4 linked regions of the Drosophila melanogaster genome follow. The protein of the gene in region 1 purifies or fractionates together with the protein of each later gene. This does not show direct contact. Each region holds a gene or a part of one and is shown on either strand. Other genes may lie near its edges. The genes, in order: CG18748, RhoGAP19D, Arpc1 and CLIP-190.

Region 1 (7,481 bases):
CGTGTTTGAAAATCTTAGACTACATATGGTAATATATATATAATTTCGAATAATTTCAAAAATCGCTCCACCCTGTACCAGTCTTGGAATTGTGATAAAATGTTTATTATAAAGTGTTAGGTGGAACTTTTGCCTTGTGTGCAAATGCTTTATCGCCCTTACATTTCTAGTATAGTATTTATTTTCGTTCTCATAGCCACGTTCCCTTGTCTTTGTCCACATCCATGGCCGGATTGACAAAGGCCCTCTCTGCCATATAATTCTGCGTATAATCCGTCGGCGGCGGAGCTGAGGGACTGGGTATGTCGAAGACCGGATAGAGTGGCTTATAAGCACCGCCATCCAAACTGAGAGTATTGGGCGGTACTGGTTCCGGGTCGTCTAAGTCGTCTGACCTCGTTGCAGCCGTGCTGCGCATGTGAACAGCCTCCTGATAGTTGGGCGGAGCTAAAAACACCAACAAAAAACATAAATTGATACTGTAATTAGTTTATGGATTCTAGTAAACTCACGAATGGATGCGTCGACAGACCATGGACTTGAAGAGTTTGGAGCAGTGGCTACTTCTTCAACAGCCAGCTCATTAACATTCAGCTGGGGGACGAAACCCCGAGGCTGGATTGGTACGTGTTGTGCAAGAGGGACACTGCCAATGGTCAGCGGAATGGTGACAACCTCGTTGTTGTGGCAACCCTTCACCCTGGCCTCCACCTCCACTTGGTAGGCGATCTGGATGATGCCGCACAGGTTGAAGCAGGTGGGCGGAGTGGCCGGGACTCTGATCTCATAGCTAAATAGCTTCTTGCAGTTCCTTTGCACAGCGTCCCCCTTGAAGGTGTTTACCACCAACCTCTCGGACGTGGTATTGGGCATCGAAGGTGGCTTACTGTGGTATGTCACCAGCATCACAAAACTAATGAGGAGCTGCTCCACCGGAATGTGGCTATCGTTTGTGACCAGCACGCTAAGGGGAACATTCTGGCCAGGTACAAATCCTGTCTGTGGAACGGTCAGTTGGAGGGCCAACGGATCTGATCGGCAAGGCCAGCAGCAGTAGGTCTTCGAGGTTTCACTGTGGGCGGGTACCTACATAACATATTCAATTAGCTTAGGTTCTAACAGATATGTATTCGTGTTTGATTTTGATTCGTACCCTTAGCAGTGGACTATCGAAGTTCAAGTCCATCACTTTTAGCACCGTAAAGCATCGGGTATAGCTCTGATCGAATTTCCAGGGCCTGACGAGGGTTACGGTTGCCATGTACCGCACCCTGCCGTGTGATCCCTCGAAGGACGAAGGACATTCGGTGGGAATCAGGCACACGAAGTTGTAAGTGTGAATTCCCGCTTCAATGGATACTTGGCCTGCAGATATGATTAGCAATTAGATGGACTTTCTTGCCTAAATGGAGCTTTACGTACTGCTCAGATTGGATCCCACCAAAAATGTTTTGGACGCTATGTAATCCTCGCGGCCGCAGAATGTGCGACGTCTCCTCCTTCTGTTTGTGGTCACCCTTTCAATCCAACGCGTCTCTGCGTATCCGGTTATATTCAAGGTGATGGCTGCGGAGAAGAAGTTGATAAGGTATTTCTTAGAAAGGTATTTTAGCTCAATGTACTGTAACGAATTGAATTTATTCTTTAATTGTTTTTTAAGTCATCTAAACGATGATTATGGTTTTGACAAATTAAAATCTTTTAATCATACAGAATTACTGTTATGCATTCACATGAAATATCCATAAAAACTTACAAAAGCAATCGTTGTATATATGAAAAAGTCAAATATGTATCCACCCCTATTTAATATTAATTAATGCGAAACCCATTGATTATTTAAAAATAATTTAATCTTATCGAACGCAAATATTATCATTGATGCATTTGTGTATGTTCGCCAAACACCTTCATGTAGACATTAGATTTCGCACGTGTGGTTCTCTACTCACTATAAATATATGAGTCACCGGACTAAATCTTCGTTTAAAAACATTCAACCGCACTTTTAAGTTGGACGATAAGATAAGAATGACTCATGGCATATTGTCAAATTCCAAAGGTATCTCAAATCAACTGCCCCTCACCTTTTACCAACTTCATCTTGTCCAGCTTCAACGTAACTCTGCCAGTGAGTACCTCGCCCCCAAAGTAGGTGCCATGGGGATTGTTATCGAAATCAATTTCACAGGTAACAGTCATAATTGTAATTGTAACCGCAATCGTGTATTTATGGGCCGATCCTACTCTGATGCCGCTGCAAACACGACTGATTTGATTTTAATGCCAATGTTCAGTTATTTACTCCCTAAATTCCGAGAACTCCAGACAGAGTGGAAGGAACCGCTTTTCGCGACGATAGCACCCACATGCCCACTTGGCTGCCAGAAATCAACTGAGAATAAAACAAACATTGCGGTTGTTCTATATTGGTAGCGATGGCCAGAAAAACTTTATCTTATCGCTGTCACAATTTTGAATTATACATTTTGCCAAATGCAGTCGAGCAGCAAATAGCCCTCATATCTCCGGAAAAATCCCAAGGACTTCTTGACAAGCAGGCGTGGGATGGGATGTCCAATGGTTCTCAAATGTAGAATAGTTTTTTCGCCCGCCTTCATTTCTTTTCCTCTTTATCCAAAGCCGCTTCCTTGCTCTTTTCTACAGTTGAAGTAGACAAATCGAAGACAGGATACAACGGCTTGTAAGACTTCTCTTGCGCATTTCCCGACTCTGACTGTTTCTCAGAGTCACTATGGGAATGCATGGCCTCGGCGTAGTTCGGTGGCGCTATAAAAATCGTATGGTTACATAATTGATATGGACATATTAAAACAAGGACAGCTTACATAGTGTGGATCCTTCTGACCAGGGATATGGGGGAGCAGCTGGAGCAAAAGCTCCCTCTCCCTCAATCAAAGTCAAAGCTCTTTGTTCTGGAGCCTCTGGCCCAGAGCTCTGCGGCGTATATTGCACCGCTGACGGCGATATCGGAACACCACAAATAGTCACCGGCATTATCAGAGTTCCATTGATATGCATGCCCTTCACCTTGGCCACAACCTCGATCTGGTATCCGATCTTGATAATGCGGCACAGATGGAAACATGAAGGCGGAGTAGAGGGTATCATCAGTTGGAAGTCGTACATTTTCCGGGAGTTCCTCAAAACTCCATCTGCCTTTAACTTGGCCACGGACTTGCGCTCGCACTTGGAACCTGAACTTAGATCACTGTAGTAGGTGATCATCATTGATAGTCCAACCTTCACTTCGTGCACCCGAATTTTGCTTTCGTTACCAATCAGAACATTTGCGGGTACCGTCTGACCAGGCACAAAGCCAGTCTGCGGCAAATTCAGCTCCAGCGTTAGAGGATCCGATCGGAAGGGCCAGACCCCAAAGGTTTTCTCAGTCTTGGCCTGCACGGGAACCTTAAAAGCGATTACATTGTTATAGCAGACCTCCAAAATTTCGTTTCATGTTATATTTACCTGTGAAACAGAGTTATAGGTGTTTATGTCCATCACTTGAATAACGGTGAAAGCTCTTGAGAAAATGCTGTCGTACTTCCACGGCTGAATGATATTGACATCCACCATATAACGTATACGACCATGAGTCCCCTCGAACGATGAGGGACAATTGATTGGAATTGGACAAGCAAAATTGTAGGACCTAGTTCCCGGCTCCAAAGCCATTTCTTTGCGAATACATAAAATGAAATTTTGACCAATTTCAATAACAAATTATCACTCAATATTTTACCAGGGCTAATTTCGGAACCCAAAAGATAAACTTTACTGGAAAGGTATTTCTCAAATCCATTGTACGACTCTGAAGTGGACTTGTTATTCGAATCAGTCTTGCTTTCGGTCCAATGGGTCTCTGCATAACCTTTTAGCTTAAGTCGAATTGCTTAATATGTAAAATGTTGCGAGAATTATATGAAGTATCGCAATCACAACTGAGTACTTACCTTTGATTTGAATCGCCTTATCAGTGCTCAGAGTCACTTGACCAGCAACCATTTGGCCCGCGTAAAAAACCCCTTGCGTGTTGTTGTGAAAAAGAATTTGGCAAATTATTCCCATGGTTTTTTATGGTTAAAGCACAAGTTTTAATGAATTTAAGTCTGTCGTTAATTGTTAAGATGTTTTCCCTTCAATTGCCGCAATCAAACTGAACTAAAAAGTTTCTTACCACTTATTTTGTGCAACGGAGAGCTTTTGGTAATTTATCTTATCAGTACACCCATAAATCTATTTATTGGTAAACCCAAAAACCCCCTACAATTTTTTTATACAATAAATAGATCATTCGTAACCAGCTAACATGAGAACTGAATTATCAGGTCCAAAAACAGCTGATACTTATATTTGTGGTGTAAAAACAAGTGCCCCCAAATGAGTTGAGGCTCTCGCATCTGAAGATAGCAATTTCACTCAAATAAATATATTAACTCATCGATAAGATATCGCACAACTCAGCAAATATTGCTCACTGAGGTCGACGAAAAGTTCCCGCAGTTTGCGTTCAACCACAGGGTAATTGTCATGTCTGTTGTATTTCGATTACTTATTAATTATTTACAGAGTGGGTACATTCATTTTTAAGCCCTTCTAAAGCCAAGTGCTTTTTTCTACACCTTCATTGACATAGCCGCCATCAGTCTTGGGTTCATTTGCTCTCAAAGTCATTTCGTCCACTTGGTTTGACAAATCAAAGACTGCGTATAAGGGTGAAAACACAATTGTTTCAGCTTTCCTCTCTTGTGATCCTTTTACACCTCTTTTCTGAGACTTTTTCTTCGATTTCGAGAACTTGTGCGGATCCGGGGAGATGTGTTTAGCCTCAGCATAACTCGGCGGTGCTAAAATAAATAAGTGATTCCTTGAATTATGATCTTTAAATTCGAATATGGAGTTTTGTATGAATTTCCTTAAAGCTCCTATTTTACTCACCAATTGAAGGATCCGCAGCCCAAGGATTGGGGCTTCCGAGTGCTTCTCCATTCTGTTCGCTGCCAATTAAAATCAAAGCCTTCGCATCTAGCTGCTGGGGTGGCAGAACTTCACCCCAAGTCCTTGGTTCTTTTTGGAGTTGCTTCGTTAGCGGGACACTTCCAATAGTTATGGGCATGTGAAGGGACTGGCCGCCATGACAACCTTTAACTCTGGCCTCCGCTTCCACCTGATAGCCGATCTGAATGATGCTGCATAGATTAAAGCAGGTTGGCGGAGTTGGCGGCACCTTAAGATCGAAGGTAAACTGCTGCCGGCATTTGGTCGACACACCTCCGCCTGTTTTCAGGACCATCTCAAAACGGTCCTTGTTGGTGTCCGCGGACGGGGGTTGACTGTAGTAAATCACCACCATAGTCAGTTTTACGGTTATGTCCTCCACGGCTACACCACTGTCATTGGAGACCATCACCTCCACCGGCACGATCTGTCCTGGCACAAAGCCACTCTGTGGAACAGAAAGTCGCATACTGAGTGGCGACGAGCGGCAGGGAAAACAGCAGAAAGTTCGCTGGGACTCCACTTGACTAGGTACCTAAAATTTATAAAATATAAAAATATAAAATTTTATACTTGACCATGGTACAACCAAAGACACTAGAATTAGACATTATTCTAATGTCTTTGGTACAACACATGGTACAGTGGACTATTCCATAGTGTGTGGAGAGACTAAGAAACATACCCTCAGCATTAGGCTTTCGGAGTTCAGGTCCATCACTTTGATCACAGTGAAGCATCGATTAAAGTTCAGATCGAACTTCCACGGACGCACGAACCTCACGTTCACCAGATAACGTATCCGACCTAGTGTCCCCTCGAAAGAAGAGGGACATGTGATGGGCAACTGACAGGCGAATCTATACGAGCTGGTGCCAGGCTCAATAAGCACCTCTGAAATGGAGCTTTGATTTCATTATCTCTAGATTTATGGTGATTTATCATCTTCGAACATACCTATGCTGGAACTAGACCCGTGCAGATAAGCCCTAGTGGCCAAGTAGTCCACATGTCCGTTGAATGATTCACCATTCGACTGATCATCCGGATCGTGTTCGGTATCCGCCCAGTGGGTTTCGGCATATCCCTTGATGTTAAGGATTACAGCTGAAGTAAAAATAAAAGCTATTTTAAGCCCCTGCAACACTTGCACTTCAAATCAATTAAGTCTTTTAGCAAGTAACGTTTGTTTTGAGTAGAGCAAAATGAATCAGCGCCTTACCTTTCACTGACTTTTCCTTCTCAGTTTTAATGACCACCTGTCCTGAAATCAACTGGCCTGCATAAAAAATTCCTTGGGAATTATTGCAGAACTCAATCTCACAGATTACCATTGTGCGGAATAATTTGTATGATAATCCGGGAGCTGTTTAACTTTTGCCCTGTCTGTGTCGTGGCTCCCAACAAACTGAAGTCACCCGCTGCGGCTATTTTTATTTTATTTTTTGTGCAGCATTTATTTGGCCAACATTTTTATTTTATCTTATCAATGCGATAGGTATCTCAGTATTTAAACACAAATTTTTACCATTGCTATCGGAGTATTTACATATGTAAGTGACAGCAATTTGAGAAGTACGAAATTGGCAGGCAGAACTGATCGATGAGGGCCAGTTTTCCCAAGGTTGAGATAGCGATGATAGGGCGTTGTACCAATAAAGAAATAGAGGATAATGGAGTCCCTGATTTATCGCATAAGTTGTTAATAAATTAATGAAGGAATTTCTCTCAACTGGCCGCGTTGCCAACTATCCAGATAGACAAATATTGCAGTGGGTTTTGTACTGAGTTGAGCCGATAAGATAATGCCAGCCGACGGTAAAACTGAAAATGAGAGTCCAGGCCATGTTAGCAATACAGTTGGCCCAGTTCGTGTTTAGCAGCGGGCGCGTTAGGATCGCTCGCAAATCTAAAAGCTCTGGAGAGGCATAAGCCCATTACCTATTCGCCAACATGTCGAAGAACTGCATGATAACGTTCGACCAGAATGAGCACGGCACCTACTTCACCGGCCAGGTGATAACCGGCAAGGTGATTGTCAATCTGAACAAGACCAAGAAACTGCGAGGTAAGTAAGACCAACTAGGATACCCCAACAGTACGGAAACTAGTGGGGGCTTTCGCTTATCGAGCGCGGCGTATCTTATCGCTTCGGATAATGTCAGGTTTGGCAAAAGCAAAAGATTCAACAAACCATTGAAATGGGTAATTAAGTGATAACTATGCGGACACTCCAAATGTGCGATAATTGATGATTCCTGGAGCCGAAGGGGAGCGATAACAACCTTACTTATAGTTGGGGATCTACCCAACGAATTATATTTTCTTTCGAGGAAATACCAGGGAACTTACTCACGGTTTTCGTCTGGGCTTTGCAGTGATATGGACAACAAGTTTTGTTGATTCTTCGAAATATATGTTTTCTACTTCTATTTAAAAAAAAAAAGGTTAATTTTTGT
Region 2 (8,076 bases), on another chromosome or scaffold:
GCTTTGATTTGATGTAAATAACAACCCATACAAATCTACTTCAATATGATTTGCTAATGTCAATACTTTGGTCAGCTAATATCTTGTGGCCCCCAAGCAAATGTTCTTATAGAATGCCAGCCAAGTGCCTGCATCGGCAAGCGATAAAATATGTTAAATATTTTGTGTAACGCTCGGCGGCGAGTTGTTCTTGTTGGCCCCCATTTCCGGTTTTGGAGGAAAAAGGGGGCGGCACTGGGCGGTAACTCGTTTACTCAACCAAATTCGATTGCTTTCCGTCGCACTTGTTATTTCTCCGCCGCAGTTTCATTTTCACGTTCAGCAGTTTTGCCATTTCATTAGAAACCTATGTACATATGTACATACATACTAACATCTTCTGTTATCGCAAAGCGAGAAGAACAAGAGCTCGAAGCCCGAAGACAGTGAATAATAATAAGCGACGACCTTGGCATTCTTTTTTCGAGCAACAACAAATCTGGAGTAGGGCAAAACGAAAAATAAAATAAGTGCAGTGATAGCGTAGCATTTGCATAATCGGCACTGATTTTGGCTATTGGGTGTGGGAGTGGGACTTTCGCATCGATCGCCAATTATGTAGGGGAGTGGGGGGGAGGGGGAGAGAGAGTTACTTGTAATACTCATTGCCTCTATCAAGCAACTTAAATGGAGAGCATTATTCTGATCTCATCTGTGTGACATTAGTTATGTCATCTCTGTGTTTTCGCCGCCGCTTTCTCGTCATGCGACAGCAACCACGGCAACAACAACAAGTCTTTTAATTCTAGTACTTAAATTGTATAACGTTGTAATTTTCACGCGACTTGCAACAAAGCCAAACAAAGCAACAAAACGAACAATGGCCAGTCGTTGACAAATGTTTGAGCTTAATTAACCGACGACCACCAGCAACAACAAGTGACTAATAGATTGCAAAAAAAAAAATAAATAAAACGAAAAAAATGGCTAAATAAATATGTTAAATCGAAGTGCATGGCTCATGGGGTGTTGCAAAACTCGAATTGCATGACATAAAAGTGAAAAAGACGAGAGATGTAAATTGATTGCTTTTTACGCATATGCTATTTTGCAGAGCCTCACAATCTGATGTTCCGGGTGACCACTGTACAGGTAATGTGAAGCCTCCCTCGACAACGCTCTTCCCTTGAACTCTAATCCCCTCGCGTTGGCCACCCAGATCCTATCTGCCCCTGACTTCCATTCTCTTTGTACATACATACACACATATACACATACACATACATATGCATGTATTTATGTATATTGCGCGGCTTTTTTTGGGTGCAGTAATTGCAGTGCATTTAATTTCCCATCCCGAACGTGGCCGCCTTGAAACCACGACCAAAACAAAAACAAAAGCAGCAGCAACAGCAATGAGCACACGAAAAGAGTCAACAAAAATATTGTAATAAAAAAGAAGGTTAATCAAGCGGCTTGGCTGCGAACCGAGTTCGTTTCCCCCACTTTGGGTTAAGGCGGCTCGTGCTCGGGCCGCTGCCAATAGGCTTAGAGTTGAGGCAGAAGGTGAAGACAGCGGTTCCCAGGCCCCCAGCCACGTCCCTACACTGAGAGAAAGGGCTGGGCCACTTTACTTCGCATTACAAATAAGAGGAGGTGAGATGGCGAGAAAGGTTTAGATTACGATTGCCAAGTCTCAATATAGTTATTTAAATGAATCGCATATATTTTTTGAAGTTCTATGCTTAGTTTTTTTTTTTTTTAATAATAATTAAACACGTCCGAACTCGATTTCCTTTCAGTTTCGAGCTCGAGATTTTAAAGAACCCCATTGGAACCCTATTTTTTAGCAAATAAGTGAGCAAAGTTCATAGAGCATTTGTTTCTGCGCGTGTAACTTCAAGGTTTTATGTAATTTTAGTTTGTTGCTGTTTTTTTTTTACTCGCCCCTTTGGTTTTTTTTTTTTTACTTTTGCTTCTTGCGTGTTGACCAAGACACAAAAAAAAAATTGGAAAACAAAATACAAAATAACATTAGCCCATGGAGAGGCAATAACAGTAACAGTAACCAAAGTCCGGCGCATAAAGTTGAGTTTTCTTACAATTCGTGATTCGGTCCGAGTTCGAGCTCGGGCTGGAAATGCCCGTTATTATTGGCCGGCATTCGCAGGGGGCAGAAACACGTAATGGATTTAACTATTGTTGCAATAATTGCCAATTGGGCAACGTAATTCTTTGCTCATTATACATAATTATCTATTGACTTTTACCATTTGCAGCAGAGGTGCGTGTGCTCCGATTGTTCATGTCTTTATTTGCCCATTGTCCTCAAGTTAGGGGCAATGTCAACGAAGTTAAGTGGCAAAATAGTAAAACAGTAGAGGAAATGGGTAAAAAGTTGGCCGAAAGTGCCCGATAATTCCACTGCGAAATGGGAAATTTTAAACCAGCTGAGTATTGATTGCAAATTACGGAGGTTTCACGAAAATTATCCTGCAATTTTTAAGTGGGCGCTATATGGCAATATCGTTATAGCCAGCAAATACTGCGGTAATTTGGGAATAATTTCAGAAATTAAGTAATTTATTCCTGTTGATTACTTTTTTTAATATTCTTTAATATTCTTCAATGTGACAGGGGTTTTAAAGTTCGAAAAAGGTTAAATCCCTTCAAACGCAATCGTTTGACTGTTAAGGGCTACAATTCTTGTAAATGAAAATTTATTGCACTTATTTATCAAAAAATAAAAAATAATTCAGAAGTTTTAAGAATGAACACATTTTTTTATTCGCCTAATTTCTTGCGTTGTCTCTGTGAATTCTGCAGAAGAATTCTCCGCAGAGAGGAAATGAGAGAAAGAGGTCCAGTAGAAGAGAGAAGGGAGTCTGGTGGTACGTAAACAAAAAAAAAACCTAAAAAGCAGGAAGACAACTTTCGCTGCTGGCATACAACGGAAAATGGAAGACGTGAAAGATGGGAACAGAGCAAGAGAGCAATAAAGAGAGTGCACAAAATGGGCCGAAAAGTGCCGATTCTTCAATTGTTATACTGTTTAGATTTACACAACATTTTTATAAAATAAACAAAAAGCCTATGATACTTACCAAAAACCAGGAAGATTTTCTTCTCCCTTTCTGACGATTTTCTTTTAAACTTTTTTGTTGCTTCCTTTTTGTATATTTATGATTTCGTTTTAATTTTGCAAACTAGAAAAAACACAACAAAAACGGTGTGGAGCTGATAAGGCGATTTATTGTTTGTTTATTTAAGGACATTCCTCAATTCTTTCCCATTCTTTCCTCTCTTTTCTTTTCCTTCTTCTTCTTATCAATGAAATGTGAGTCAGTGGCAGCCAAAAAATCAGCAGTAACGGTCAAAATAATAGCACTTCAAAGGGCATTCTACCGTTAACTACCGATAACTCAAGAAAAGTAGAAAGGAGTGCACTCTTTTACTTTCGTGACATAAGATTGATTATTTTACTTTAAAGATACTAAAATGTTTGTTATTTTTAACAAATTTTAATTGTCAGTAAACGCGATGCTATTGATACTATTATCGTAACCGTAACTGTGTTTTTATGTTTTTTCTTGTGGACTTTTTTGTTTTGCTTTATTTTTTGGGTTCTACATGCTGCCGACGCCGCAGTTGGCGTCGCTGCTGGCAGTTTCCTCATGTGGCGCGCACACACGCACATACCGCACACAAAAACACACTCACACACACCTACACGACTTCATTTCTTTTTCATTTCTTTTCCTTCCTTTCGTAATTGCTCCGCTTTTTTGCTTCTTCTTTAAGGTTGCAGAGTGCGGGAAAGAGAAAGGAAGAAAAAGAAACAGCGCGACAATTTTCATTTGGGCCTGTGCAAAAAAACCACAAATACAGAGTAAAAATCTTTATTTCATGCACGTTGCATTTTGCACTCCAATTGTTGTTGCCGCTTCAGCTTCTGCTTCTTCTTCGCCATTTGACTGTTGCTTTCTTTCGTTGCTTCTGTTGTTGTGGTTGTTGTTTTTGGCGTCGTCGGCGGCGGCGAGCAATAAACTAATTACTTTAACTAGCGAACAACCAAAATGTTTGCCGAATTCGTTGTGTGTTTTTCTTCGCCTTGCATCGATCCTTGTATTTTTTGGAACGCCTTGCACACATTCATCGCTTGCTTTTTACTTTTTTATTACACTTTTCGCCTTTTTCTTTTCACAAAAAAAAAATTTGACGCCACACGTTTGTTGTTGTGGTTGCGCCAGCACTTACGCTGCTTTAATTACTAATGATTCACAATACAATCAAGCGATCGCGCGCGCACCGTCTGCACTTTCGGCCAAATTACAATTAATTAGTTGTGTATTTTACTCTACTTCTTGTTTTACTTGCTCCGCTTTCCACTCGATTTCGTCCGATGTGATTTTCGAGTGACCAGACCAGTCGAGTAGAGGTGGAATACGGCCGATGCCACGCAGGCTATCGATGTTTTCATGCCTGGACGTATGTCGATACTTTGCAGCAGCTTATCGGCTTATGCTGCGATATCACCACTGGACGAAACTTTGGCCATTAGTTAACACTGGAGACTATAGATATTGTGAGAAAAAAAATTAAATACAATTTTTTTACCTGCTAGCCTGCACTTTATTCTGAAATATTTGCAGTGAATAGATACAGCACGCTGAATAAATGTTGGTCCAAGAATGGAACGCGTATTTTTAAGAGTGTATTTGAACTCACCCACACTAATATCATAGTGTATTAATTTAAATATATATTTATATAATATATAATACTTAATTAGATATCTTTTCTCGTATCAAAATTATTTGCGGATCCGAAAAACATTTTCTAACAAGAAACAACTGCCTAACGTGAAATACTTCAATGTCTCTGATAAGATTGACTTTTTTAAAGAAATTAATTAATTATTCTTTTAGTATTAATATTTCTGCCTAAAGTTAACGTAAGCTATCTTACTAAGCTAAACTAAGTAACTAACATAGACTTATTTTGGTGCAAATTTAACAATTTCATTTTTAAATGCTACCATATCAATGTTAAAGGGGAAATTCGCGAGCTTTTGACTTCAAAAGCTAGCATTCTCTTATAAAAACCTTTTAAATTGCATACTCACCCGTCTCCCAATTAAAAGCACCCAGGAATACGGGTATATATATGAAATTTGAAAATATAATTTTAAACGATCGCGCTCCGCAATCGATAGCTAAATGCGCATCACTAGCGGTGCTAGCCGACTTGGCAGTTCAAACGTCAAGAGAAGAAACGTCAAAAACGCGAAAAGTAAAAAGTCGCAAGAGGGAAAAGAAGCAAAGAGGTAGCAACAAGCAAAGAAATCGCACGCGAAACTTTTTTCTCTGCCAGTGTTTAGCAATAATTTAGCTAATTTCGTGCGTATATTTGTCGTAGAACGGTTCATAGTTCGCCAAATAACGGTTTGTAGACAGCTGGCCGCGAGTGTAAACAGAACGTGCTGCCCTCTCGCTCGCACTCGCACTCGCGCACCAGAAGCTCGGTCATCTCAAGAATTTCTTATCAGACGGATTCCCCAACCTTGGGACCACATAGGTTAACATATATATAGGTTAATAGCCCGCTCTAATCTTTGGTCCGTTCCGAGAGAGTACAGCGAACAGCATGGCAGCGACGCCAGCGCCAGCAGTGACGCCGGCAGCGACAGCAACGTCGGCTGCGGCCAAAATTCCTGTGAATCCCGTGTCCCCCGAGGAGGAGACCCTTCTGCGGGGCCTCAACAAGCTGCGCAACGAGGAGAAACTCACGGACGTCACTCTGATCGTCGAGGAGCACCGATTCAAGGTAGGACCCCACCCACACCATTATAGATCCGAGCAATAGCTACATGGAACAGCCCCATCTGTGGATCTGCTTCAGAGATCGTGCCACATCTGTGGGATCAGCTGAGCTACGAGCGGTTACGTCTAGCCTCATGGACACGGCACATCGGCGAAGGCGGATGAAGTTGGGTTGCACAAGTTTGGCTCCCAGAGTGCGCATAGCAAGTATGCATAGATTATCTTTCAGAGCAACTTGGTTGTGATTAGGCTAGGTTAGTTACGACAATACCTTCAATGGCCTGCGCATAGGACAAATAGAAATCGCACTAAACCGGATTGCTCGCATCCTAAACTCGGCGGTTTGGCAGTTTGGCTAGTTGGCCAGTTGGCCATTTGGCCATTTTGCGAGCTCGTGTTAATTATATATCGGAAACCACGAAAGCATAAGGTGACTAGTTATAGGGTTAGAGTGGCAAGTGGTAGGCGAATCGATAATCGTGGCCAGCAAAAAAGCTCATCTTTACTTTCTCTTGCTAATAATACAAATACGAAAACAAATTCGCGACACAAATTGATGTGTTTCGGCCGATGACGCATTTTCATCGCGCTACCTATGAATATTTAGGGATTCCCGGAATCAGACTCATATATTCAGATACATACATAAATCCAGAAAATTCATAGAAATGTTTTATGATACAGATTTTCAGAAATCTGATTTCAAATGTTTTCAAAAATAACATGGGGAATATCAGCGTTTTTCGTTACACTTATTACACTTATAGTAACATTTTTCCCCAAGTAATCGAACGAAATACGTAATCCCAACTTTGCAGGCTCACCGCGTCGTCCTGGCAGCCAGCAGTGACTACTTTTGCGCCATGTTCGCCGACTGTGCCATGATTGAGTCGCGTAAGGACGAGATAAATCTCTACGGTATTAAAGCCAGGGCCATGGGCTCGATCATTGACTACATATACACATCGATGCTGGAACTGAACTACGATAACATCGAGGAGATCCTGGCGGCAGCCACGCACGTCCAGGTGCGCGAGGTGATTGACCGATGCACGATCTTTCTGGGCGCAAAGATCGAGATGGAAAACTGCCTGGCCATTGCGGGAATGGCCGATATCTATGGAATTATGGACTTATCCGAACGGGCCTACCGCTATATGTGCGCTCACTTTGAGGAGTTCGCGACCACATCGGACTTTAAAGAAATGAAGGTGGACCAGCTGCGCTTCATCCTCAGCAGCAACTATCCCATTGACGTGGCCGAGCAGGATCTGGTGCGTCTGGTATGCAGCTTTGCGATCGAACAACAGCTGAATGAGAGCGCTTTGGGGGATCTGCTGAGGCTGATCAAATGGCAACACATTAGCTATAAGTCCGTGGACGAACTGAGGAACATGAACTGCTCGCTGGATAAGGGAAAACAGCTGCCACTGCCTACCAGCTACTACAACCGAATAAAACAGGAGCACATGGGGCACCTACTCAACGGAGTGGTGTCCCTGAAGGATCAGTCACTGCCACAGGGACCAACAAACATGCGGGGCATGGAGCTGTGTCTGCTGAAGATCGGGGGCTTCGAGTGGAACGGCCTGACCAATGTAATAATGTGCTTTTCGCCAAAGAAAATGAATTGGTATGAGTTGACCGCCATTCCGCACATCGATCAGTGTAAGTGTTCGGATTCGAATTAGGATACATTCGTATTATATCATTGTACAGACAATATACATGTTCCATTGCATTCCAGGCAACTTTGGCACGGCCGTACTGAACAACAAACTGTTCATCGTGGGCGGAGCGTACGATGTCTTTTTGAAGGAGTACATCCATCCCTTTGGCTTCTGCTACTGTCCGCTAAGGAATACATGGATGACCATAGCACCCATTCAGCAGGATCGCTGCCGTTTCTCGTTGAACGCAGTGGGCACTCAGCATCTGTATGCGGTGGGCGGCATTCTGGACGATGATAACGAAGAAGCCCTGCGCATGATCTCCAACGTGGAGCGCTACGATATCGCCAAGAATGTATGGACCTATATGCCTAGTCTGCAGGAGAATCGCAGTCAGCATGCCGGCGTCGTTGTGGGCGATAAGCTTTACATCTCTGGTGTGTTTTCAATGCAATGCAAAAAAAAAAAACAGCTTGTAAACGATGCAGCGCTACGCACTAAATTAAAGTTGCCGAAAGTGTTCATGCATAGTTCACAATGAGCGAAAGGCGTTCGTTTTTAAGCCCCTTAAATTACTGAACTTTCTTTCTTATTTAACAGGTGGC
Region 3 (7,499 bases), on another chromosome or scaffold:
GAGGCCACCTGCTGCTCCGAAATGCTTCGCGGCGCTTGTGGGAACAGTTGGGCGTGCAAATTCCGCGAGATCATCTGCACCTTGACCAGATTTTCCGCATATTCCGTTGGGCCATTCTCCACATTCTCCGGCTTCTTTGGTTTGTTTACCTTTTGCGGAGGCTTGACCCGCCGAAAGATCTTCACGCTACTGCTGGCGTAGTGCTCCCGGCTAACTTTGCTGGCGTACTTTCTGATCAGGTGGAACTGCATCCTCGTTTTAATAAAGGAAACATCCTTTAAGGCAACTGAAGTCCAACCTGCGACCACACACTCCTCCGTAAGATTGCCGCCAGCCTAGGTATTTTTGTGCGCTTGCGCGGCGGTCACATTGATTTAATTCAAATTTATTTCCGTTAAATTAATAATAAATAAATATAAAACATTTTCAAAAAATTCCAACAAATCAAATTTCTTGCTGCTTGAAACGATTAATTATTAAAAAACAAACACTTAACATTTGATTTTACGAATAAAAAACATTTTATTCAGTTTGCTATAAAGGTGAAACACTTTAAAACACACACACACTTTCGGAACCATTATGGAAGTTGGTGGGGGGGGGGGGGGGGAAAGAACAATCTCTTCGGTTAATTTATGTAAAAAGGCTTTCGCACGGTACAGAACAATGGGAAAAGCGATTTTGGAAAACATTTTGGCAAATACTTCGCTCCTGGCCAGGCCAACACACTCGCTAACAGACAATAACACGTAACGCTGGTCCGTTCCGGGCCGCACTAGATCTGCAGGTTGCGCATGCCGCCATTGATGCCGCCCTGCTCCACATTCCAAATGACCAGCTGCCCGTCGACGCCCGAGGTGGACACCTTGGTGGCGCTCGCCTTGTCGCCGGCATACAGTCGCACGCTGGTGATGGCGTTCTGATGTATGGAATCGACCACCGTGTCCGTGTTCTCCGTGCGCATGTTGCGGTCCATCGACTGAAAGATTCTCATGGCGGTAATGCCGCTCGACTCCTTCTTCTGCGACTTATCGAGCTTGCCGCTCAGCACCAGCTTTCCATCGGCAGTCAGACTGTAGAGCAGTGGCACACAGCTATAGCCGGCCACCACGACGGACGTGGGCGAGACCCATTCGCATGACAGGAAGGGCAGATAGCCGGTGCGGCATCGAATGACCGTATTGCCATTGGTAGCGTCCGCGATGCTCACGCAGCTGTCGTGGCCCACCCAGCAGACCTTGTTACCGTCGCTGGAGAAGCTCACGCTGTTAATCCAGCCGCCACCCGAGGTCTGCGAGTTGCGGAACTCGGCCATTAGCTGGCCAAGGGGCTTGCGATTGCCCCACGGCGTCGGCGTCGGTGGCTCCTCGATGTCCTTGATGAAGGCCGAGAAAACGCGCACCTTGTAGTCCGTGGAGCCGGCCAGCAGCAGAACGTTGTTCGGATGCCAGTCCAGCGAAGTGACCGTAGAGCGGATCGGCTTCTTGATGTGCTTCGACACCCACCAGTCGTTCTCCGACTCGAAATAGCACACGGATATGAGTCGGGCGCCCGAACCCACAGCGAACTTGTTCTCCGCCGGCGACCACTTGACGCAGGTTGCCGCCCGATTGATGCGCAGCAGCACCAACGCCGGCTTCCACTTGCCATCGTCGCCCTGCGTCCACACATAGGCATTACGGTCGGCGGCACAGCTCACAATCCGATTGGTGTTCTTGGCCCAGTCGATGCCCATGACGCGCAGATCGTGCTGGTTGAGCACGTCCGCCAGCTTCCAGTCGCTGCCCTCCCGGCTGTATATGTGGATCTCATGGTTGTTGGGCGATAAGGCAATCTCTGCGAATTTTTGGGAGTGGGTGGTGGTGAGTCACACTGTGCCGGATGAGTAATTTGGGTCGCACTTACGGGTTCGATCCTTGTTCCATGCGTGGCAGGTGATGGAGGCCAGCGAGGTGCCAAAGGTGTATGTCTCGGCCATCGTGGGTGGCTAAATGCGCTCGGAATGTGCAGTGTTCGCTCGTCCAAATCCAACCACACGCGTAGTTTCTTCGGTTCGGTTCGCCGGATTTTCGGATTTTGGATATCGCTGTGTAGCAATTGGGCGTTGTTTCCGCTGGATTTTAGCTTCGCTCTCGTTTTAATCGCGGACTCTGGGCCGTCAACACGATTAAGCTGGCGTTGCTGGGATGGATTCTGGCTTTGCCTGGGCCGGAAGAGTAGAGCGTTGTGGAAAAAACTCTTTGGAAAAGTAATGCACAAAATTAATCACCCGAAATTAGAGCTGGAACAAAAATCGATGGCCCTCAATACTATCGTTATTTCGTTATATCGATATTTTTCGATTGTTTGAAAAATGCTAAGGTACCAGTGCTGTTACGCACGTTCGGTATATACCAGAGGGAATAATTTGGCGCCATTTCAATGGTCACACTAAACAGAAACCATTTCTTGTAAACAAATTTTTAATAACTGGCTGGCTCGTAATTTATTTTTGTTATTTTATAAACCGAGGAAGTATTTTCCCTTTTGAAAGCCCGTTTAAATAACACCACTTCGCCTGTGGGTAGCTGAGGAAACTTAAAAGCAGACGACAGCTATGGAAGCCATCTGCTCCTCCTTGGAGCCGCTGTTTCCCTGTCGGGAGGCGGCCATTGAAACGCTGGGCGAGCTGATAGGAGATTCGAGTGAGACATATCCCTCGGCAATTTACCTATTCGGACACAGTGGAACCGGCAAAACAGCTCTGACCAGAGCTTTCCTCAAAGAATGTGGAAAACGGCAAAATGTCCGCACAGCGCATTTAAATGCCATCGAATGCTACACCACCAAGATAATGCTGGAGATCCTGTTAGACTCGCTGGCACCCGATCAAGGTGATGCGCTGAAGGTCGACAACATGCTGGACTTTGTGGAGCAGCTGCGTCGGCAGGCCGCTACACGCGTGGAGGATCAGGGATTTCTCATAGCCGTGGATAACGCGGAAAGGCTGCGCGACATGGATGCCAATGTGTTGCCCGTTCTTCTCCGACTGCAGGAGCTGACCAACCTGAATCTGTGCGTTATTCTGCTCTCCCAGCTGCCCTTTGAGAAGTTCTACAACAAGACCGGACTTAGTGAAATCGTCTGCCTGCACTTGGCGCAGTACAACAAGGCGGAGACACAGCGCATCCTGGGATCTGACTTTCAGCAGGTGCGAAATCAACTGCTGGAACAGTTCGCCCAGGATAAGAAGCGTCTGGAGATTTGCCAGGAAGCCGTAACTGAAGACTTCTACAACAACTATCTGAATCTCTTTCTGAGCGTCTTTTACAAAGCCTGTCGCGATGTTCCAGAGCTCCAGCTGACCGCCAGGAAGTGTCTGTCCACATACTTGGAGCCTGTACTCGACGGCACTGTGGATGCCACGGACATCTCCCGGCTTTGGCGGCATATAGCTGGACCACTGCGTTCCGCCTTAACCCAGATTTATATGCGAATTGAAAAACCCGCGGAAGAAGTTGAAGATTTCACCGCCATAGAAGATCAGAGCGTTCGCAAGCTGGCGCAGTCGCTGGAGCTGCCCTACTATGCCAAATTTCTGTTGATCGCTGCCTTCTTAGCCAGCCACAATGCCGCCAAGCAGGACAAGCGATTGTTCGTCAAGCACCATGGAAAACAGCGAAAGCGGATGCAGACGGTCAACGCCAGAGCCAAGGTGGGTTATTCAATTTTTCGATGACTCCATTTGCTTATTTTAATACCTTTTAGACCACGGAGAAAATGTCCACCACTTTGGGACCCAAATCCTTTAGCATCGATCGTTTGCTGGCCATTTTCTACGCCATTCTAGAGGAGAAAGTCGGTCTGACCTGCAACCTTCTCTCCCAGATCTCAACTTTGGTGCACCTCAATCTACTAAGCTTCGTCTCCGGCGAACAAAACATAATGGAAGGTTCCGCTAGGCTGCAGTGCACCATTGGCTTGGAGTTTGTCCTGCAGATTGGCAAGGTGGTGGGCTTTAATGTCCGCCAATATCTCTGCGACTTTATGTAGCCCCTGGTTGTTTTTTTTAGTTTTTAAATATATTTAATAAATAGTCCGGTACATCGCTTATGTGTATGGTCTCCGCCAGCCTTGTGTCCCGGCTGCGCAACTGCATCAGTCCGTTTCTTAGCGTTTGCTCGTTTATAACAAGTGTATAAGGTATGCCGAGCATATCCGTTTCCAGCAAGTGCTCTGCTAAATGAGAAGCGTTCTTCGTCGTACGAATTCCATCCCCTTCAGAAAGTCTAAGACCGGCGTGGTTGAGAACATGTTTCAGATGCTGACAAAGATCAGACAAGTCAGCAGATAGCTCGGAATCACTTTCCACACAGGCAATTCCACATTGATATGGCGCCAGAACGCGGTGTAAGAGCAGGGATTGCGAGTCCCGGCCATGATCACAGCCATCCAGAAGCAGAGCTAAAGGATAATAATATAGAAAGATTTTCAAAGATAGTTATGATGACCACTTACCGCAGGTGGTAGTTTCCAGCTCTATCACAGACCTTATGACAGTCGGTTGCACAATTTCACCCGTTCGCGCATCGGGCAGCCGGAAGTCTTTGTCGTCCACTATTCTCACCAGGCTCAGTTGCTCCACGGTCACTTCTCCTGCATCACCGTAGCTCGTGCGGATATCGATGGCTTGATAGTCGTTGGGATTGAGATCCTCAGCCAAATCGCAAGGTACGATGCGGTAGCGACTGGGATTCGAGGAAAGACGCATCCACCAGATCTTGCTCTCACGCTGCATGTTGTAGAAGTGCTCCAGTGCGCGATGTGGTTCCACTAGGAAGTCCGTGGTTAAATGTAGCGTAGGACCCTTTATCCCAAATAGGGAATTGCTAGTGGGACCAGAACAAGTGCTTTGATGTTTCAGAAGAGTGGGACATTTGGCCTTTCGAGGATGATCTTTGACGAGTTTTTGGAAATTGTTACGGAATTGCTGGCTTTGTGGAAAGGAAAAACGCTGGATGTTGACTGGATTTATGGGTTCTTTCGTGGCGCCCAGGTGCGCAGCCAAGGGACGTAGTCGTGTCCAATGCTGTTGCAACAGTTTGGCGTATTCCCTTCCATGACTCAGTAGCTCCAGTTTATTGTCTTCCACGGTGCGAAAGAAGCCAGCGGAAGCCAGGGACTTAAAGCATCGTTGTATGCGACTCATTGCTCCAGCGGAATGTTGCCCGGCGGCGAAACGAAGTAGTCCTCGTCCGTCACCTTGGCGTTCCGGAGCACCTCCGCCCGGCAATCGCCTTCGGTCACCTGGTCGTTGCGTAACTGGAGCTGCTGATGCTCCAGGACCGTGTACAGTGGACGCACGTGCTCCGTGTTGATATGGGCAATCTTGTCCGCGAACTGTATGCTGCTCTTTAGCGTGGCCAGCGCTCGTTCGCTATCCAGATCCACCAGCGACAGCCGCTCCAGCAACTGGATGGTTTTCGTGTCGATCTGGATTTCGGAGGCGCTGGTGTCGGGAAACTTCGAGTCCACTGGTGTCTGTGGCACCTTGGTGGGATGCGTTAGCTGCTTGAAGTCCAATTTAGTGGCCTTTTCATTCGATTTTGTTGCAATTTTGCAGTAAAAACGGCTGCTGAACAGACGCAACATTCTCACCAGCACAAAATCAGAGGTGGAACTGAGTTTCGGAACAATCAGCTAAATGTTATCTGAAAAGTATTGTCCTTGCAAAAATGTTGATTTATGTGTTTATTCTATCTTAATTTAAAGCAATTTTCTTGTTATTGTGATCTAGTTTAATTAAACATGTCTCCATCACATTTGTTCAATTTAATATATCCAGCCCTTATTGTTAAAAATCTAGCTATAAATCCGAAACGAGAACAACAATCGATAACGGCACACTTATCGCCGGCTGTTATTGCTGCACTTCCATCGCTTCCTTTTCACTGAGCGGGTTATTTTTTTCGTGACCCTTTAATTTCATCAAAACAAAACCGCAATGCCGTACGCCAACCAGCCGTCCGTGCAGATAACCGAGCTGACGGACGACAACGTAAAGTTCGTCCTGGAGGACACGGAACTGAGTGTGGCCAACAGCCTGCGGCGAGTGTTCATCGCGGAGACGCCGACGCTGGCCATCGACTGGGTGCAACTGGAAGCCAACTCTACGGTGCTCTCGGATGAGTTTTTAGCCCACCGGATCGGTCTGATACCGCTGATCTCCGACGACGTCGTGGAGCGGCTGCAGTACACGCGTGACTGTATCTGCCTGGACTTCTGCCCCGAATGCAGCGTGGAGTTCACCCTGGACGTAAAGTGCAGCGAGGAACAGACGCGCCACGTGACCACCGCCGATCTCAAGTCGAGCAATGCCAAGGTCCTGCCGGTGACGTCCCGCAACCAGGGTGAGGAGGACAACGAGTACGGCGAGAGCAACGATGAGATCCTCATAATTAAGCTGCGCAAGGGGCAGGAGCTGAAGCTGCGCGCCTACGCCAAGAAGGGATTTGGCAAGGAGCACGCCAAGTGGAATCCTACCGCAGGCGTGTGCTTCGAGTATGATCCGGACAACTCCATGCGACACACTCTGTATCCCAAACCTGATGAGTGGCCAAAGAGCGAGCACACCGAACTGGAGGACGACCAGTACGAGGCGCCCTACAACTGGGAAGCCAAGCCAAACAAGTTCTTCTTCAACGTCGAATCCGCCGGTGCCCTTAAGCCTGAGAACATTGTGGTCATGGGTGTGCAGGTGCTGAAGAACAAGCTGTCAAACCTGCAGACGCAACTCAGCCACGAGTCCCAAAACGATGCATTGGCCGTTTGATTTACATATAACAAGTTTATTTTAAGTTTATAAAAGATGTTCCGCCTAATCCTTGAACAAGCTGTCTATGTTAATGCCCACGTTCGCTTCCTTTTTTCCCTTGGGAGCAGGTGGTGCTGGTGACGACGTGATTTGCTGGCTCACCACAGCCTCCTTGAAGTCGCTCAGCAGCTGGGACTTGGATTCCGAATCCTGCTCTGGCAGGCATTCCTCTGGGGTAGTCTCCAGGCGGGCCTGCTGGCGCTGCTCCGCCAAAAGATCCAGTGCGGTCTCGTAGATCCTTTGCTCATCCAGGGCTCCTTGTCCTTTCAGGTCCTGGTATATTTGGACAAATTGCTGTGACTGCGTGCTGCGCCTGTGGTCAAACAGGGATATCGTTTCCTGGGGTTTGTTTTCTTTATGCAGCTTTCTGTTGGTGTACAAGATTAGTTCAGTATTGGTATAAGCCCGACTGCAGGTGAAAAACATACGCTCGGACAACATCCTCGGCATAAAATATCTGGCGCACTGGAATCTCAGGCGCGGGTCTGTCGAATCGGGGCTCCAGTTTCGGCGGAAAGGCGGCGTACACATCGTACCAAATGGGTTTATCCTCGGTTTTCATAGCTCCACCGCGTAGGAGGCCCTGAACTCTGCAAGAGTCGGGTGTTTAAAGCTTGCACAGATATTTCGTAGGAGGGTAAATACC
Region 4 (7,951 bases), on another chromosome or scaffold:
TTTTTGTTGCTCTTCAATTCCGGTATTATCCATCATCCAAGGCACTGGCTAAGTGGAATTTTTATTGAATTCTTTCCCTATTCTTTTACCAAATTAGTTTTCAATTTATGACACAATTTATTTTTATCTCTCTTCCACGGCAATTAATCTTCGCAGTCCAAAAATAAAAAGTTTCCTTCTATTCCAGACATTTCCACCGAAAATACATCAAAATACAGTGCGTCCTCTGAAAGGTGACATTCCACGTTCATAATAAGTCTTAAAATTAATAATAACATCTCATAGTTGGAATTTACTTTGTGTAAGTAATTAAAAGAAATAAACTAAAATAATTTTGTAGTTTATAATCTGTCTCGTTTCAATGAACATAATCTTCGATCTGTGAAGTATTGTTAGATGGAAAATTGCCATATCTCGCTTTTTCAGCGATTAGAATGACAACTAACCTTATCTACGTATCCTTTCGCCTTTCAGAGCGTTTACTGTATGTGTATACAACAAACACAAGTGAAAATCGATGAGAGACATGTCCCGTTGTGAGAACATCTGTTCGAGGGTAGCAGCAGCTGTGAGAGGGGGCGGGGTCCTGCGAGAGGGCGGTGAATTTTCTGGGTGGGTATTTCCCATTTACTATTTCTCCGCTGGTGCATATTTTTTGGTCCTAACAAAAACGAAAGTTGGTTGAACTTCGACAAAATTTTCGTGCCGGCTGCGGCGAAAATAAAAATAAATAAGGATAACACGAATAGTGCAAAGTGGCGAAGAGCGAATAACGGCGGTAATTATTGTCCTTGAGCGCAGTCCGAAAAGGGAGAGAATGGGAGAGCCGCAGAGAGAAAGAGCAGCTGATGGGAGGACAGAAAAGGAGGAAAAGGATGAACCTCCGACGGCTGCTGCAAATTATTGATTTTCAAGCAACAAAAGGAAAATTCGCCACTGCAATGGAGATGGAAAAACTTCGTTAGCTCACCGGCAACAAACCTCCTTTGCTTAAATGCCGCACCCTAAAGGTATACACATACGCCAAACATTTTCGATAAGCAACTAATTTAATTGCTTTATCAGTACTTGTACATATGTAAACTCTACTTTTACTTTTTCTGACGTCAAAAGAAAACTTTATAACTAACAATTTTCTAATCAACTTTAATACCATTTAACTTTGTAATATAAAAATGTATGCTTTTTCCAATAAAATGTTATTAACTTCGTACATTAAGTATTATTAAGAACAGTTTAAACTTTACTTAGGAAGTAATGAAAACCCAATTTTTTCCGGAGCTACGAAACCGGCTTGAAGAACACCTTTTCTTTGTTCTCCCTTACGAATATACACTATACAATAGCGGTACGCACCTGCGATGACAGTGTCGGTAAGTGAGTACTTCGTTCCAGTCCTGGGAAAGTCCTTCAGCTTGCGATTGGTCAGGATCAGTTCGCCGCTGAAGTGCGCTTCTTCCAGGATTCTTTCCAGGGAGCGCGTCAGCTGGGAATGACTAAGCAGGGCAGACGAGGTGGAGGAGGAGGTGTTTCCAGCGTGGCCTATTCCAGATCCCGATCCTGTTCCAGATCCTGGAAGGGAAGCCGACCCGCTGCCGATGGCGCTGCCAGCGGCGCTGCCGACGCCGACTGCGACGCTATGTAGGCGTTGGTAAACCGTTGCTGCCATTTCCCGTGTAGGCGTGGCGACACTTCCACACACTTGCACACACACACGCACGCGCTAAACTATCACACCGATAAGGAAACGGAGTGAAGTGCCGAAAGAAACCGAAACTGGAAACTAAATTTGCTCTATTGAAACGCACGCATCTCGATTATTTTTCATTTAGTGTACGTCTTCTTGGCTCATTGATAAGATTTCTCGGAATTGGATTTTCCTTTTGCGGCTTCCTTCTTGCTTCCTCTTCTTTGCCTCCTCGCACACACGCGCACTCACACACGCACAAGCTCACGCAGCAGACGAGCGACAGTGCACAACGAAAATCGAAAAACAACTGAATCGGTTTATGGGATGCTACTTGGGCAGCGCTGGAAACGTTGCTGTTAGTTTAAAATCGGCGTGCCTTTGAGTACTATCGATAAAATACCACAGTGCGCCGATGATACACTGGCTCCATTTTTATCGCAATTCGAAATGTCAACAATCTTACATTTTATAATGTAATGTAATGTTTGTTTATTCAGAATGATCTACCGTTTAGCATTTGCCCCTTCAAATTTAGGGCATTATTAGATTACTGAGTCGTTATTACACCGAAACATTTCATATAACTACTTAAAGAAAAAATGAACAAATGACCAGGTAACCTGGTATTGGAACCCGGCAATAAACTGGTTGAATATTAAAAAACCATGTTAGACTAAATTATAAATTCGTTAATTTGTCAGTTGTGTGGGCTCAGATCACAAATCTGAATAAGCTCAGCGACGCTTCCATTATTGGTGACATAATTTCATATTTTACATATTTATATTCACGAATAAATATTCGCCAATTTCCTACAGGGTGTTTTTGTATGACCGCATTACTCTAAAAATACCTCGGGAAAATATAGCCGCAACTATCGATTGGCGCGCTGCACTGGAGCTGTGCTACCATCGCTAACTCAGTGCAACAACAAAATTCCAACGCAACGCCAACTAAGTGCAAAAAAAATCTAAAATTTGTGTAAAATTGTAAAATCCCAATCGCGTATATTTCTAAATCGTATTCGCACAGCACAGTATGTAAAGCACTCCAGTTTATTTAAGTACTGTGTGTGTGTGCGGTAAACACACACCAATAAGAGTGCGTTTTCGCGTCCCTTTTCCCACCCTCTTCTAATGGTTCCCTCTTCTATAACTGTGTCAAATCAGCAGCAACAATAAAATATAGAACAGAGCTACAGCGTGCGTGTGTGTGTGTGTGAAATGCACAAATTGATAAGCAATTTGATTCAATTTAATCTTGTTTAAGTCTGATGAATATCAGCGCAAGCAGCCCAACACAAAATTATAAATAAAAAGTTACGAATTTATATAAATAGAATACCCTTGAGTGATTTTGTTAGTCGCATAAAATTAATTCAATACATATTTGTGTTCCGCATTTTTTGAAAATATAACGAAGTTCTGGCCAACGAGAGCAACAACAAAAAGCGGTCTTGTTTGTTTTTCAAGCTCAACGAAAAAAAGAAGAAAAGAAATCTGCTCTCAGTCAGCTGTTTTAAAGCAGCCGCCTAAGTGCGAGTGAGATAGCTGCCTGCGCGCCAAAATAAAGCAACAACAAAAGTGGAACAGTGGTTCAAAACCTAGCTAAAAATAAAAAAAATCCATTTATTTTTGTAGCAAAAATATAAAATAAAAGCAAATTAAGCGAATTATACATATATTTGTTAAGGTAAGTGATCAGCATTCCATTTATTTTACCAAAAATTATTCTTTTGCACTTGTTTTTCCCCCAAGTTTTTTAAATCGTTTACTTTTAATACGCGTGTGTCCTAATAAGTGAAGATTATTAAGAATAAAGTAAAAAATGAGTGATGATACGAGCGCTTCGGGCGGGACAAGTGCCCCTTTTCCATCGCCAGTTACTGCGGACCCGGAACCAGGAGCCACTGCCTCCAAATTACCGGGTCCCATCAGATCCAATATTCCCACGCCCGCTACTTCTGGTACCGGAATCCCGCAGCCCAGCAAAATGAAGGCACCATCTAGTTTTGGATCGACGGGTTCTGTTTCCAAAATCGGAAGACCGTGCTGCAATCACACAACTCCCAAATCCGGTCCACCACCAAGAGGTAAGTCTAATCGCATTGTGCAACAACGCAAACCAGTTAGTATTATTGCTCAAAGCAAATATGTTACTAAGAGCAGTATTTTTGAAAGTAGTTAAAGGTCTTAATTATCCCCTGGGTTTAATTATCATCCATTTTACAAGCTAGAATTTAAAGCAAGATGAAATTAAAACACATCTGAACACCAATGGGAATTCAACCAGAGCCCCTTTGAAAATCTTGTCAGTGCATTGTCACATACATATTAACATCTTAACAAAGAACATTAATTTCACAATTCAAGAAAAGGGGTTTTTACCGATTTCCACTTTTATACGCGAGTTCTTCACTTATAAAACAGTTGGAAGAAGTCTGATAATTGAATTGCTCTCCGGAAAATATCGCAGTAAAATATGTTTCAATAGTATAGCCCACCACTATACTATCACCAAGTACTCATGAAGGTTAATATTAAAAAATGTACCCACATTCAAATGGGAAAACAGAAACCCAAAAAGAATGGTGAGTTTAAATAATGCACTTTTAAGTTTGACATTGTAAAGGGGTCATTTCATCAAGTTTACTTACTCTCTACCCTCAATACCCGAGATTTGACTACTTTTGTGTTTGCATCTTTGGCTCAAGCAAGTCAAGCATCCGCCTACATATATATATGTGCACCCACAAGATGTAGATTGCTGTATACTATAAGCGAATGCAATGATCTAATGGAAACGATGACAGACCCACTCACTTGCTAAATATATACATACATATACGCTGACCCCACCCCATTTGAGTGCACTTTTTGCACTACATTGAACTTGCAATTATTTCGGCGAGAACTCGCGTAGTTAGTGTAAATTCTTCTCTAAAGAGAAACCATTAATAATTCCCAGCGTCAACTGTTTCGTTTGGTAAACAAATGCTTCACTTCTTTCAATTATTTAATCGTTTTGAAACACCAACGCACAATTCAAAAATAAACAAAACAAATTGCCGCCCACTCTTAACTCTCGATCATAATTATAGAGCTGCCCCGAAAAGTGTTTTTGGTAAGGAGAATTATGGCCAATTAGGCAAGTGCTGCTACCATTTAATTGATCCGCCCAATGTGGCTCATTTCAGGCACGTAACCGCACCGCAGTCGTCAACATACGACGACCCACTGGCCCATATAGCAAACGATCTGCCAAACGATCCATGGATCGATTGACGGGTTTTCTATTTCGCCGGCACACACGTTCCATATCCGATTGACAGTCGCAATGCAACCGCAAAATCGTAGAAATTTATTCCCTGTAAATTTACCCAAAAACACAAAAATTTGTAATGTTTAGGGTTACAGAAAAAACTGAGTCACGAGGTGTATTTAATTTGCATCCATAGAAATAGTTTACACGGCGCTATGTGCACTGTGATCATTTAGATTATCACTTTGTATTAGATTGGTTTTGTAACTAGTTTGTTTGCCCATTTATACATTATTTTTAAAATCGTTTATTGGTCGTTTATTGCACATAATTATTAAACCTATTTCAGAAATTAAGCTGTTTGCTTGGCTCAATGAAAGTCCAGTTTGTTTTGATAGCTCCGAATTTTTTGCTTTAGTACATTTAAATTTCTACGCTGATTTGTTTCAAATACGCCAGTGTTGATCGCCATATCAAAGAGATTATTCCGCATTTTGCCAATTATTAACGAAAACGAAGTGATATACCGCATGTCCCAAATAGTTGAACTACTTTAGTCAATTAGTAGTTTATGCGACGCGCTGCTTAAAACCAAATCCGTTCCAAGCGCCTGAGCGCCTTGATCCGCTGCCCAGATCAGCTTTCTAAAATCTCTCCTAGCATTCTGGAACGGACTGTTTGACTATCTGCCAAGAGACCCGTCATTTGGCCCGCCATACTCAATGCCAAAAGTCTGCGAAAATCTACTCAGCTCAAATGCGACCGAGAAAACCTGGCGACCGGCCGGCAATCTATCTCTACGTCGTCGTTCCCTAATTGAATTTGTTCTGGCGATGACACAGAAAACGTACTCAAAACGTATCTTCTAGCTTGTTCGTGAGCTCAGATCTTTTGAGGTGTTTTTGCGCTGCGCATTTGATGCCGGGTTCCGTTCTCAGTCGATCTGATATGAAAATTGCGGTCGTGGTGCTCGTGGATGAGCTTATGTCACTTTTATTGGTTTCGATCGGAAACAAAAGTGAAGTGAGCCTCTCTCCCACCCATAAAAACGGAAAGCTCATTTGTCTTCGCATTAAGATTGAATCGAAAACGCGTTCGGGATTGACGTCCAATGGATGAGCATCGTCTGGCGGGGGATTACTCCATTCGATTCTAGATTGAGCCCAGTTCTGTTTACATCACCGACTCCGTGGGAGAGTCAATATTGATGTTATGATTAACCACTTTTTGTCTCACTTATTTGACTTCACATCATTAAGTCGTTGAAATCTTTATAATTGAAGACACGTGTTGCATATTTAAGCTGAAAACGTCTCGGGTTTCAGCCAACAGAAAACAGTATCTTCTCTTAAAAGGAATATATATACATATTCGATTTGATAAGTTATGTATTTGTTATAGTTTAGAAAATTTTATTAAATACGTGTTTCAATATTTCAATGCGCTTTTTTGTGCATTGTCTTAAAAGCTGATTCATAGATGAATCTAAAGATAATTGATTCTGATTAACTGGCATTTAGTCTCTGGAATTCATTGTTACAATCTCGTCAAGCAATTCTTAAATTGTTTTCCTACGTGTAAACTTTATATATAATTAGACACAACCCGGCGTTTAAAAACTTTATCGAATCTTTCAATAGCCACTTCAAACATCTTTAAAGAAAAAATAATAATTTTCCAAAACTTACATACTTTTTTATAATAAATTTCACTGCTTATAAATATTTATATTTTATGAAATATATAAGGTCACATAAGATTTCTTCCAAGTCGAAATCCAAAACATATTTGCCTATTAATTATTGAATACAACAAGAACATATTTTTTAGAGTTTTCAAAGCCAATATGGATTGTTAAAAAAACCCAAAAAGTGAAATTCCATTTTTTCGAACTCTTGCTTAGTTATTTTCATGCATTTACTGCACTTGTGATTAGAGTGCTAAAAACCATTGAGCGATCGATCCATATGGTATCGAAGAAAGGGAAAATAAAATTGCAGCCATGTGGCAATTCTTTGTTTGCCGGATTAACTCACTTTGCGTGTCCGTGCAAAAGTCGAAAATAAAAACATTTTTTTACGGCTCTTATTTTTACGCGACGTTTATTCAATAAAAACACCGAGAGTGCGGAGCTATTGCCACAGTGTCTGCTATTAAACTCTGGCCAACAAAGCTTCGGCACCGGATTGGCAATCGGCTTCGCCGCTCTCTCGCTGCGAAAAAAAAGTATCTCAAAGTTTGCGCTGACTTCGCTTCGCGATTGGCTCTCGACGTTCAGTTACTTGAACGACTTTTCGCGAGGCGGACGTGTTTCAGACGCGGAATTGCAACTCAGATGGCAACCAATTGAACTTGATCGGCTCTATACTATAGCTTATATAGTGAACACGCAAACGAAATTGAAAATCCAAAATAGAAGCCAACTTTAACAGAGAGACTTACTTATTGTTATACAACTCACAAAAGGTGATTTGGTGTGCCAGCAAATTACGAATGTCGTTATTTAAATTGGAAATTTCCAATTAAAATATAAGGCTTTTAAAAAAGAACTGTAAAGGCATAAGTTATGTGAACCTTTTTCTACGTCCTTGTCGATGCCCTAAAAGGATTCGAGTTTACTGCAGTGCAAGATATTTTTGGAAACTTTTCGTTTTTCATATTTCTGGCGACAGCCTTTGACCTTGGCTTGGTCTGGTTGATAACCAATTGTTAATCAAATTTATTCTTTTGTTCCTATGTGAAACTTTGCTTTGGTTGTGGCCTCATAAATATTTATTTAATTTCGTGTCTTAGACAAACCTAGAAATTTTCCAATTTTTTTGTTTAATGTGGTTTTATTGAGTTTAAAGATAAGATACAGCGTTAATTGATATCTCTGTTCTAAATTATAACATGCTTAGATCCTTATCATTTAACCGATTTTGTTGGGCTTGGCCCATTTATGACTGCACAATTTAATGACAGCGATATTTCGGTCAATGAATAGTTTTATTCCTGTTT

The links.
Region 2: the proteins of CG18748 (region 1) and RhoGAP19D purify together in Drosophila melanogaster (affinity purification with mass spectrometry, with the first as the bait; one large-scale study listed by BioGRID). This does not show direct contact.
Region 3: the proteins of CG18748 (region 1) and Arpc1 purify together in Drosophila melanogaster (affinity purification with mass spectrometry, with the first as the bait; one large-scale study listed by BioGRID). This does not show direct contact.
Region 4: the proteins of CG18748 (region 1) and CLIP-190 purify together in Drosophila melanogaster (affinity purification with mass spectrometry, with the first as the bait; one large-scale study listed by BioGRID). This does not show direct contact.

Annotation. Positions count from the first base shown.
Region 1 is NT_033777.3:7,783,752-7,791,232, forward strand, and holds CG18748 (uncharacterized protein), read right to left. Parts: upstream 4,173-7,481; 5' UTR 4,093-4,172; coding exon 3,978-4,092; intron 3,917-3,977; coding exon 3,767-3,916; intron 3,702-3,766; coding exon 3,493-3,701; intron 3,433-3,492; coding exon 2,850-3,432; intron 2,791-2,849; coding exon 2,618-2,790; 3' UTR 2,419-2,617; downstream 1-2,418. Other genes in the region: CG18745 (uncharacterized protein), read right to left, coding at 191-447, 513-1,086, 1,154-1,365, 1,423-1,566, 2,088-2,202; CG18746 (uncharacterized protein), read right to left, coding at 4,621-4,871, 4,963-5,557, 5,708-5,916, 5,980-6,129, 6,245-6,356; CG10086 (uncharacterized protein), read left to right, coding at 6,976-7,090.
Region 2 is NC_004354.4:20,506,283-20,514,358, forward strand, and holds the start of RhoGAP19D (Rho GTPase activating protein at 19D), read right to left. Parts: upstream 4,413-8,076; 5' UTR 4,237-4,412; intron 3,186-4,236; 5' UTR 3,084-3,185; intron 1-3,083. Other genes in the region: CG1812 (uncharacterized protein), read left to right, coding at 5,626-5,805, 6,620-7,469, 7,549-7,908, 8,072-8,076.
Region 3 is NT_033779.5:13,827,441-13,834,939, forward strand, and holds Arpc1 (Actin-related protein 2/3 complex, subunit 1), read right to left. Parts: upstream 2,302-7,499; 5' UTR 2,270-2,301; exon of another isoform or gene 2,204-2,269; 5' UTR 1,979-2,203; coding exon 1,906-1,978; intron 1,837-1,905; coding exon 776-1,836; 3' UTR 501-775; downstream 1-500. Other genes in the region: PolG1 (DNA polymerase gamma subunit 1), read right to left, coding at 1-251; Orc5 (origin recognition complex subunit 5), read left to right, coding at 2,597-3,694, 3,748-4,032; PolG2 (DNA polymerase gamma subunit 2), read right to left, coding at 4,049-4,443, 4,498-5,188; GatC (Glutamyl-tRNA amidotransferase, subunit C), read right to left, coding at 5,185-5,631; Polr2C (RNA polymerase II subunit C), read left to right, coding at 5,984-6,811; mRpS23 (mitochondrial ribosomal protein S23), read right to left, coding at 6,857-7,220, 7,282-7,443, 7,499-7,499.
Region 4 is NT_033779.5:17,382,114-17,390,064, forward strand, and holds the start of CLIP-190 (cytoplasmic linker protein 190), read left to right. Parts: upstream 1-2,901; 5' UTR 2,902-3,382; intron 3,383-3,447; 5' UTR 3,448-3,517; coding exon 3,518-3,782; intron 3,783-4,032; exon of another isoform or gene 4,033-4,216; coding exon of another isoform or gene 4,217-4,280; intron 4,281-7,227; exon of another isoform or gene 7,228-7,417; intron 7,418-7,951. Other genes in the region: Lrch (Leucine-rich-repeats and calponin homology domain protein), read right to left, coding at 1,357-1,669. UniProt on the Drosophila melanogaster protein: Together CLIP-190 and jar may coordinate the interaction between the actin and microtubule cytoskeleton. May link endocytic vesicles to microtubules. May play a role in formation of furrows during cellularization.